2 linked regions of the Xenopus tropicalis genome follow. The protein of the gene in region 1 purifies or fractionates together with the protein of each later gene. This does not show direct contact. Links are inferred from orthologs where the notes say so. Each region holds a gene or a part of one and is shown in the gene's direction. Other genes may lie near its edges.

Region 1 (4,224 bases):
GATGCAAAGCGCCTGCCTTCTGTCTGACATGGAATCCTTTAAGGTAAATGAGTGACGTCACAATGGTTGGTGCCCAGGGCGGCCATAGGGCAACGGGGACTTGTACCTCAGCATTGCCATGTCTGGTCTGATTGGTTGTAAAGTAACCGTCTCTGCACAGTTACCCCCTGCTGGGGCAGGAAAGGCTCCCACGGCAACAGCATGACGTCACAAGCCCAAGGAAGACTCACAGTGCAGGGCAGATTTCAGGACTGTGGATTTCAGACTGGCTGCTATACTCACTGCCCCTAGCAACCAGTCATTTGTTTAATGTTGCCATTATGGATGAAAAGTAGTGAGAGAATAGAAACAATAATAAGTAAATTAATATCTACCCTCGCCATCAGGTTGCTGGGGCGACGGTGCCTGTCGCTGGGGCGACTCCCAGTTTTTACAAATTTGAGCCAGGTCACTGCAGACTCAGCCAATCCCTGGCCAGAGCAATGACAAATCTGACCAATAGCAACTGTGATGTATTTTTGTTTTGCTTTCAGGCCGCCAATCCGGGCTGCTGCTTGGAGGACTTTGTCAGGTGGTATTCCCCCCGCGATTATATTGAAGAGGAGGTAATGGATGAAAAGGGCAACAAGATCGTCAAAGGAGAACTAAGCCCCCGAATGAAAATCCCCAATAACATGTGGGTGGAAGCCTGGGAAACGGCCAAGCCAATCCCTGCGCGCAGGCAGCGACGCCTGTTTGATGATACCAAAGAGGCTGAAAAGGTAATGGGTTGGGCGAGGTTTGTATTGTCAACTATATGGTCATACTTTACTGGGAACCCTATGGCAGCTCCCTCCCATATGTATAAATACAAATATACAGAGAGGGAATGTTCTGGGCACACAATAAGCTGTACCCCCATACTGTACTGTCTAAGGGAAACACTATGGCACCCCCTACCCATATGTATAAATACAAATATACAGAGAAGGAATGTTCTGGGCACACAATAAGCTGTACCCCCATACTGTACTGTCTAAGGGAAACACTATGGCACCCCCTACCCATATGTATAAATACAAATATACAGAGAAGGAATGTTCTGGGCACACAATAAGCTGTACCCCCATACTGTACTGTCTAAGGGAAACAATATGGCACCCCCTACCCATATGTATAAATACAAATATACAGAGAAGGAATGTTCTGGGCACACAATAAGCTGTACCCCCATACTGTATTGTCTAAGGGAAACACTATGGCACCCCCTACCCATATGTATAAATACAAATATACAGAGAAGGAATGTTCTGGGCACACAATAAGCTGTACCCCCATACTGTACTGTCTAAGGGAAACACTATGGCACCTCCTACCCATATGTATAAATACAAATATACAGAGAAGGAATGTTCTGGGCACACAATAAGCTGTACCCCCATACTGTACTGTCTAAGGGAAACACTATGGCACCTCCTACCCATATGTATAAATACAAATATACAGAGAAGGAATGTTCTGGGCACACAATAAGCTGTACCCCCATACTGTACTGTCTAAGGGAAACACTATGGCACCTCCTACCCATATGTATAAATACAAATATACAGAGAAGGAATGCTCTGGGCACACAATAAGCTGTACCCCCATACTGTACTGTCTAAGGGAAACACTATGGCACCCCCTACCCATATGTATAAATACAAATATACAGAGAAGGAATGTTCTGGGCACACAATAAGCTGTACCCCCATACTGTACTGTCTAAGGGAAACACTATGGCACCTCCTACCCATATGTATAAATACAAATATACAGAGAAGGAATGTTCTGGGCACACAATAAGCTGTACCCCCATACTGTACTGTCTAAGGGAAACACTATGGCACCTCCTACCCATATGTATAAATACAAATATACAGAGAAGGAATGTTCTGGGCACACAATAAGCTGTACCCCCATACTGTACTGTCTAAGGGAAACACTATGGCACCTCCTACCCATATGTATAAATACAAATATACAGAGAAGGAATGCTCTGGGCACACAATAAGCTGTACCCCCATACTGTACTGTCTAAGGGAAACACTATGGCACCCCCTACCCATATGTATAAATACAAATATACAGAGAAGGAATGTTCTGGGCACACAATAAGCTGTACCCCCATACTGTACTGTCTAAGGGAAACACTATGGCACCTCCTACCCATATGTATAAATACAAATATACAGAGAAGGAATGCTCTGGGCACATCATTGCATTATGTAATACACAGCTCTGTTTCCTGTGTAGGTTCTGCACTACCTGGCGGTTCAGAAGCCGGCTGACCTGACCCGACACCTCTTGCCCTGTGTTATTCACGCGGCTCTGCTGAAGTTAAAGGAGGAAGGTAAGTGCGTGGCTGTTGCACCCTGGCGGTGTCTCTGCCCATAATGGGCCGGGGCTGACGGTTGCTGTGCTACTTTCAGAGGCAGCGGAAGACGTTCCATCGGGCAGGAAAGCCATAAAGCAAATCATCTCCCATTCCAGCAAAGTCCTTCGTTTCCCCAGTCCTGACGACAAGAAACTGGAAGTAAGTGATTGGCCTCTTGACGCTCCGCCTTCTTACCCCTCCCCCCCCCTCTCTATTAAACCCGCTCTCTCCTCAGGACGTCATTGGCCAAATGTTGAACGTGGAAGCGACGATCGCCAGAGCGAGATCCCTAAAGGCCAAGTTTGCCGTCGACCGATGTGAAAAATCCGATGAGAAAGAGGATCTGGAAAAGTACGACTTTCTACTCGATCTTATTTAAAGGGGAAGTTCAACATATTATTTTACTGTGCCTAAGGGGGAAGACACACGGAGCTACTAGTAGCAGCTACTTGTCTCGGCTACTAAAACAGACAGTGCTGATCATTTACTGATAATTGTCTCTACGTGTGTTTAGCAGAGGCAATTCTCAGTATTGTCTATGGCAGGGGATTTTCTGGCAGCTGTGACAAGTAGCTGCTACTAAGTAGCTCTGTGTGTCTTCACCCTTAAAGCATAAAAGTGGCCTGAGGCAGTTTGCAGATGTTTTAATTTTTAAAGCAGACTGCCAGTACCTTGGCCATTGGTCTTTGTGTGAGACTTTCCATCTCACTTCAGGTCCCTGCTTTATTTGGCCTGGTTGCTAGAGTGAATGCTCCTAGCAACCACATAGTTTAAAAACCAGAAAGCTGCAGAACAGAAAATGATCATTCAGATGCCATGGATTTGGGGTCTGATACAGTCTTTCCCTAATTCTGCCTGCAGCAACACTCTCCATGCTGTGGGCCTATTCTTCCTTTGATGGTTTTAGACCTGCAGCTGCGCCCCCTTGTGTTAAAACCCATTGTGTGCAGCTGCTCCCCCTTATGTTACACCCCATTCAGTGCAGCTGCGCCCCCTTGTGTTACACCCCGTTCAGTGCAGCTGCGCCCCCTTGTATTACACCCCATTCAGTGCAGCTGCGCCCCCTTGTGTTACACCCCATTCAGTGCAGCTGCGCCCCCTTGTATTACACCCCATTCTGTGCAGCTGCGCCCCCTTGTATTACACCCCATTCAGTGCAGCTGCGCCCCCTTGTGTTACACCCCATTCAGTGCAGCTGCGCCCCCTTGTGTTACACCCCATTCAGTGCAGCTGTGAGTGGGGCCTGTTGGTGCCACATGAATATCTTTCCCTCCCTGGCAGGTTTGTGAGTTCCCTGCTGGAGCAGCCGGAGGTGCCGATCGTTGGTGCCGGGAGGGGGCCCGCTGGTACCATTATCCATAAGATGTTTGTAAGCGCTCAGAGGGTAAGTGGCCGTTCCTGCGGCTCGGGGGGGCACTTACAGTGGGGCAGTAACGGTACTTACAGATGTTCTGTTGGGCTCAGTTCTGCTGCACAGTCAGTACCGGCCGCCGCAGTTTGCGGGTTTGTTTTTAATTCCAGTACTGGTTCTGTTTAACTCTTTCACTGCTGGGCTTATTGGCCTTTCATTGGTTAATTTCATATTCTAATCAAGGCAAAATATATCATTTTCATACATTTTCCTGTCAGTGTTTCCTATTTCTCTCTGTGCCGCACCCTGTGCCCTGATCTACTAAACTGTCTTTTTGTCTGACCCTCCGTGCTGTCCTGGACTTGCCTGTCTCTGTCTCTCCCTGTCCCCTATGTCTCTCCCCCGTCCCCTATGTCTCTCCCCCGTCCCCTATGTCTCTCCCCCGTCCCCTCTGTCTCTCCCCCGTCCCCTCTGTCTC
Region 2 (4,104 bases), on another chromosome or scaffold:
GAGAGCGGTACCGGCGGCGGGAGAGAGCGGTACGGGCGGTGGGAGAGAGAGCGGTACCGGCGGCGGGAGAGAGCGTGAGAGAGAGCGGTACGGGCGGCGGTGAGAGAGCGGTACGGGCGGCGGTGAGAGAGCGGTACGGGTGGTGAGAGAGAGCGGTACGGGCGGTGAGAGAGAGCGGTACGGGCGGTGAGAGAGAGCGGTACGGGCGGTGAGAGAGAGCGGTACGGGCGGTGAGAGAGAGCGGTACGGGCGGTGAGAGAGAGCGGTACGGGCGGTGAGAGAGAGCGGTACGGGCGGTGAGAGAGAGCGGTACCGGCGGTGGGAGAGAGCGGTACCGGCGGTGGGAGAGAGCGGTACCGGCGGTGAGAGAGAGCGGTACCGGCGGTGGGAGAGAGCGGTACCGGCGGTGGGAGAGAGCGGTACGGGCGGTGAGAGAGAGCGGTACCGGCGGCGGGAGAGAGCGGTACCGGCGGTGGGAGAGAGCGGTACGGGCGGTGAGAGAGAGCGGTACCGGAGGTGGGAGAGAGCGGTACCGGCGGTGGGAGAGAGCGGTACCGGCGGTGAGAGAGAGCGGTACCGGCGGTGGGAGAGAGCGGTACCGGCGGTGGGAGAGAGCGGTACCGGCGGCGGGAGAGAGCGGTACCGGCGGCGGGAGAGAGCGGTACCGGCGGCGGGAGAGAGCGGTACCGGCGGTGGGAGAGAGCGGTACCGGCGGCGGGAGAGAGCGGTACGGGCGGCGGGAGAGAGCGGTACCGGTGGGAGAGAGAGCGGTACCGGCGGTGAGAGAGAGCGGTACCGGTGGGAGAGAGAGCGGTACCGGCGGCGGGAGAGAGCGGTACCGGCGGTGGGAGAGAGCGGTACCGGCGGCGGGAGAGAGCGGTACGGGCGGCGGGAGAGAGCGGTACCGGTGGGAGAGAGAGCGGTACCGGCGGTGAGAGAGAGCGGTACCGGTGGGAGAGAGAGCGGTACCGGCGGCGGGAGAGAGCGGTACGGGCGGCGGGAGAGAGCGGTACCGGCGGCGGGAGAGAGCGGTACCGGCGGCGGGAGAGAGCGGTACCGGCAGGAGGGGCGGGACAACCCGGTACCAATAAGGGGAGATCCCGCGGGTTTATATTCCCGGATATCTATGTGACATTACACAGGGCGGATACGGGGTCCCGCACATACGCTGCCAGCGCTAACTTGCCCCTCCCCCCCAGGCGCCGCCATGTTGGCCCTTGAGCCCCAGTGCGCAGCCGCGGCCCCGCCCCCAGCCCTTGCGCCTGCGCGCCGCTCACCCCCGGGCCTTGCAGGGGCCGTGACGTCACAGCAGCCTCCGCCCTCCGCCGCTTTGCTGCATCACCCGCTCCTGCAGCCGCCACCGCCGCCGGGACAGGCCCGGACCCCCAGCCCACACGGGAGACATGGCCAAGGTGGAGCAGATCCTTCAGCTGGAGCCCCAGCATGAGCTCAAGTTCCGAGGTACCGGGGGCTCTGGGGCACTCACATTAATCCTGCAATGTACGGCTTGGGGGTACTGCTGGGATACAATCCTCTAATGTACGGCTTGGGGGTACTGCTGGGATACAATCCTCTAATGTACGGCTTGGGGGTACTGCTGGGCTACATGGGTTATAATCCTGTAATGTATGGGTTGGGGGTACTGCTGGGCTACAATCCTGTAATGTAGGGGTTGGGGGTACTGCTGGGATACAATCCTGTAATGTAGGGGTTGGGGGTACTACTGGGCTACATGGGTTATAATCCTGTAATGTATGGGTTGGGGGTACTGCTGGGCTACAATCCTGTAATGTAGGGGTTGGGGGTACTGCTGGGCTACAATCCTCTAATGTACGGCTTGGGGGTACTGCTGGGATACAATCCTCTAATGTACGGCTTGGGGGTACTGCTGGGATACAATCCTCTAATGTAGGGGTTGGGGGTACTGCTGGGCTACATGGGTTATAATCCTGTAATGTATGGGTTGGGGGTACTGCTGGGCTACAATCCTGTAATGTAGGGGTTGGGGGTACTGCTGGGATACAATCCTGTAATGTAGGGGTTGGGGGTACTACTGGGCTACATGGGTTATAATCCTGTAATGTATGGGTTGGGGGTACTGCTGGGCTACATGGGTTATAATCCTGTAATGTATGGGTTGGGGGTACTGCTGGGCTACAATCCTGTAATGTAGGGGTTGGGGGTACTGCTGGGCTACATGGGTTATAATCCTGTAATGTATGGGTTGGGGGTACTGCTGGGCTACAATCCTGTAATGTAGGGGTTGGGGGTACTGCTGGGCTACATGGGTTATAATCCTGTAATGTATGGGTTGGGGGTACTGCTGGGCTACATGGGTTATAATCCTGGAATGTATGGGTTGGGGGTACTACTGGGCTACATGGGTTATAATCCTGGAATGTAGGGGTTGGGGGTACTACTGGGCTACATGGGTTATAATCCTGGAATGTATGGGTTGGGGGTACTGCTAGGCTACATGGGTTATAATCCTGGAATGTATGGGTTGGGGGTACTACTGGGCTACATGGGTTATAATCCTGGAATGTAGGGGTTGGGGGTACTGCTGGGCTGCATGGGTTATAATCCTGGAATGTATGGGTTGGGGGTACTGCTAGGCTACATGGGTTATAATCCTGGAATGTATGGGTTGGGGGTACTACTGGGCTACATGGGTTATAATCCTGGAATGTAGGGGTTGGGGGTACTACTGGGCTACATGGGTTATAATCCTGGAATGTATGGGTTGGGGGTACTGCTAGGCTACATGGGTTATAATCCTGGAATGTATGGGTTGGGGGTACTACTGGGCTACATGGGTTATAATCCTGGAATGTAGGGGTTGGGGGTACTACTGGGCTACATGGGTTATAATCCTGGAATGTATGGGTTGGGGGTACTGCTGGGCTACATGGGTTATAATCCTGGAATGTATGGGTTGGGGGTACTGCTAGGCTACATGGGTTATAATCCTGGAATGTATGGGTTGGGGGTACTACTGGGCTACATGGGATATAATCCTGGAATGTACGGCTTGGGGGTACTGCTGGGCTGCATGAGTTGTAATCCTGGAATGGGGGATGCTGGGGTGCAGGGCCAGTGGGGGCCGCTGGGGTGCAGGGCCAGTGGGGGCCGCTGGGGTGCAGGGCCAGTGGGGGCCGCTGGGGGGCAGGGCCAGTGGGGGCCGCTGGAGGGCAGGGCCAGTGGGGGCCGCTGGGGGGCAGGGCCAGTGGGGGCCGCTGGGGGGCAGGGCCAGTGGGGGCCGCTGGGGGGCAGGGCCAGTGGGGGCCGCTGGGGGGCAGGGCCAGTGGGGGCCGCTGGGGGGCAGGGCCAGTGGGGGCCGCTGGGGGGCAGGGCCAGTGGGGGGTGCAGGGCCAGTGGGGGGCGCTGGGGTGCAGGGCCAGTGGGGGGCGCTGGGGTGCAGGGCCAGTGGGGGACGCTGGATTACAGGGCCAGTGGGGGACGCTGGGGTGCAGGGCCAGTGGGGGACGCTGGGGGGCAGGGCCAGTGGGGGGCGCTGGGGGGCAGGGCCAGTGGGGGACGCTGGGGTGCAGGGCCAGTGGGGGGCGCTGGGGTACATCCCATTTCAGAACCTGCCTGAGGGAGGTCTTGTAACCATGAGTGCAAGGGGTTGCTGGGATACAGGGCTGAAGGTAGGGGGTCCCTATTATAACTGTCAGTTTGGTATGTGGGTAAAGGGCAGAGAGCTCCCTGATAACAAAGAGGAGTAGTGCCCCCTAATTATATGGGGGTTCCCTGGGGCCCTGCTGTGCTCCCCAGTCCTGATCCATTTATGCCCCCGTAGTGCCAGTAGGGTGCAGGGTGCACAGCCCCGATGCTGTATCCAATATACAGGGGGTATATATAGGGTGTAATGGGGCGCATATACTGGGGGCAGTGATACATAAAGTCCTGTCTGTGCCCCCCTCCCATTGGCTGCATTCCTTCTGACTGCTGATTGGGCAGTGTTGGCACAGTGTGTGTGGGTAGGGGACCCTGCGCCCACTCTGTGCGTTAGTGACACTGGGGGCTCGGGGTGGGGTGGGGGGGGTATTCGGTACTTTGTAACGGTGAGGAAACCACCAAGGGAGGCCGGACAATTGTAGG

The links. Proteins that work in one complex are often made in the same cells at the same time.
Region 2: the proteins of rab3gap1 (region 1) and vapb purify together in Homo sapiens (affinity purification with mass spectrometry; 4 studies listed by BioGRID and IntAct, counting the BioPlex papers as one, with this or other methods). This does not show direct contact. The link is inferred for Xenopus tropicalis from reciprocal best matches to the Homo sapiens genes RAB3GAP1 and VAPB.

The regions. Positions count from the first base shown.
Region 1 is NC_030685.2:84,345,197-84,349,420, reverse strand, and holds part of rab3gap1 (rab3 GTPase-activating protein catalytic subunit), read left to right. Parts: coding exon 1-43; intron 44-533; coding exon 534-761; intron 762-2,274; coding exon 2,275-2,371; intron 2,372-2,450; coding exon 2,451-2,554; intron 2,555-2,630; coding exon 2,631-2,746; intron 2,747-3,676; coding exon 3,677-3,779; intron 3,780-4,224. UniProt on the Homo sapiens protein: Catalytic subunit of the Rab3 GTPase-activating (Rab3GAP) complex composed of RAB3GAP1 and RAB3GAP2, which has GTPase-activating protein (GAP) activity towards various Rab3 subfamily members (RAB3A, RAB3B, RAB3C and RAB3D), RAB5A and RAB43, and guanine nucleotide exchange factor (GEF) activity towards RAB18.
Region 2 is NC_030686.2:2,710,414-2,714,517, forward strand, and holds the start of vapb (vesicle-associated membrane protein-associated protein B/C), read left to right. Parts: upstream 1-1,304; 5' UTR 1,305-1,403; coding exon 1,404-1,461; intron 1,462-4,104. UniProt on the Homo sapiens protein: Endoplasmic reticulum (ER)-anchored protein that mediates the formation of contact sites between the ER and endosomes via interaction with FFAT motif-containing proteins such as STARD3 or WDR44.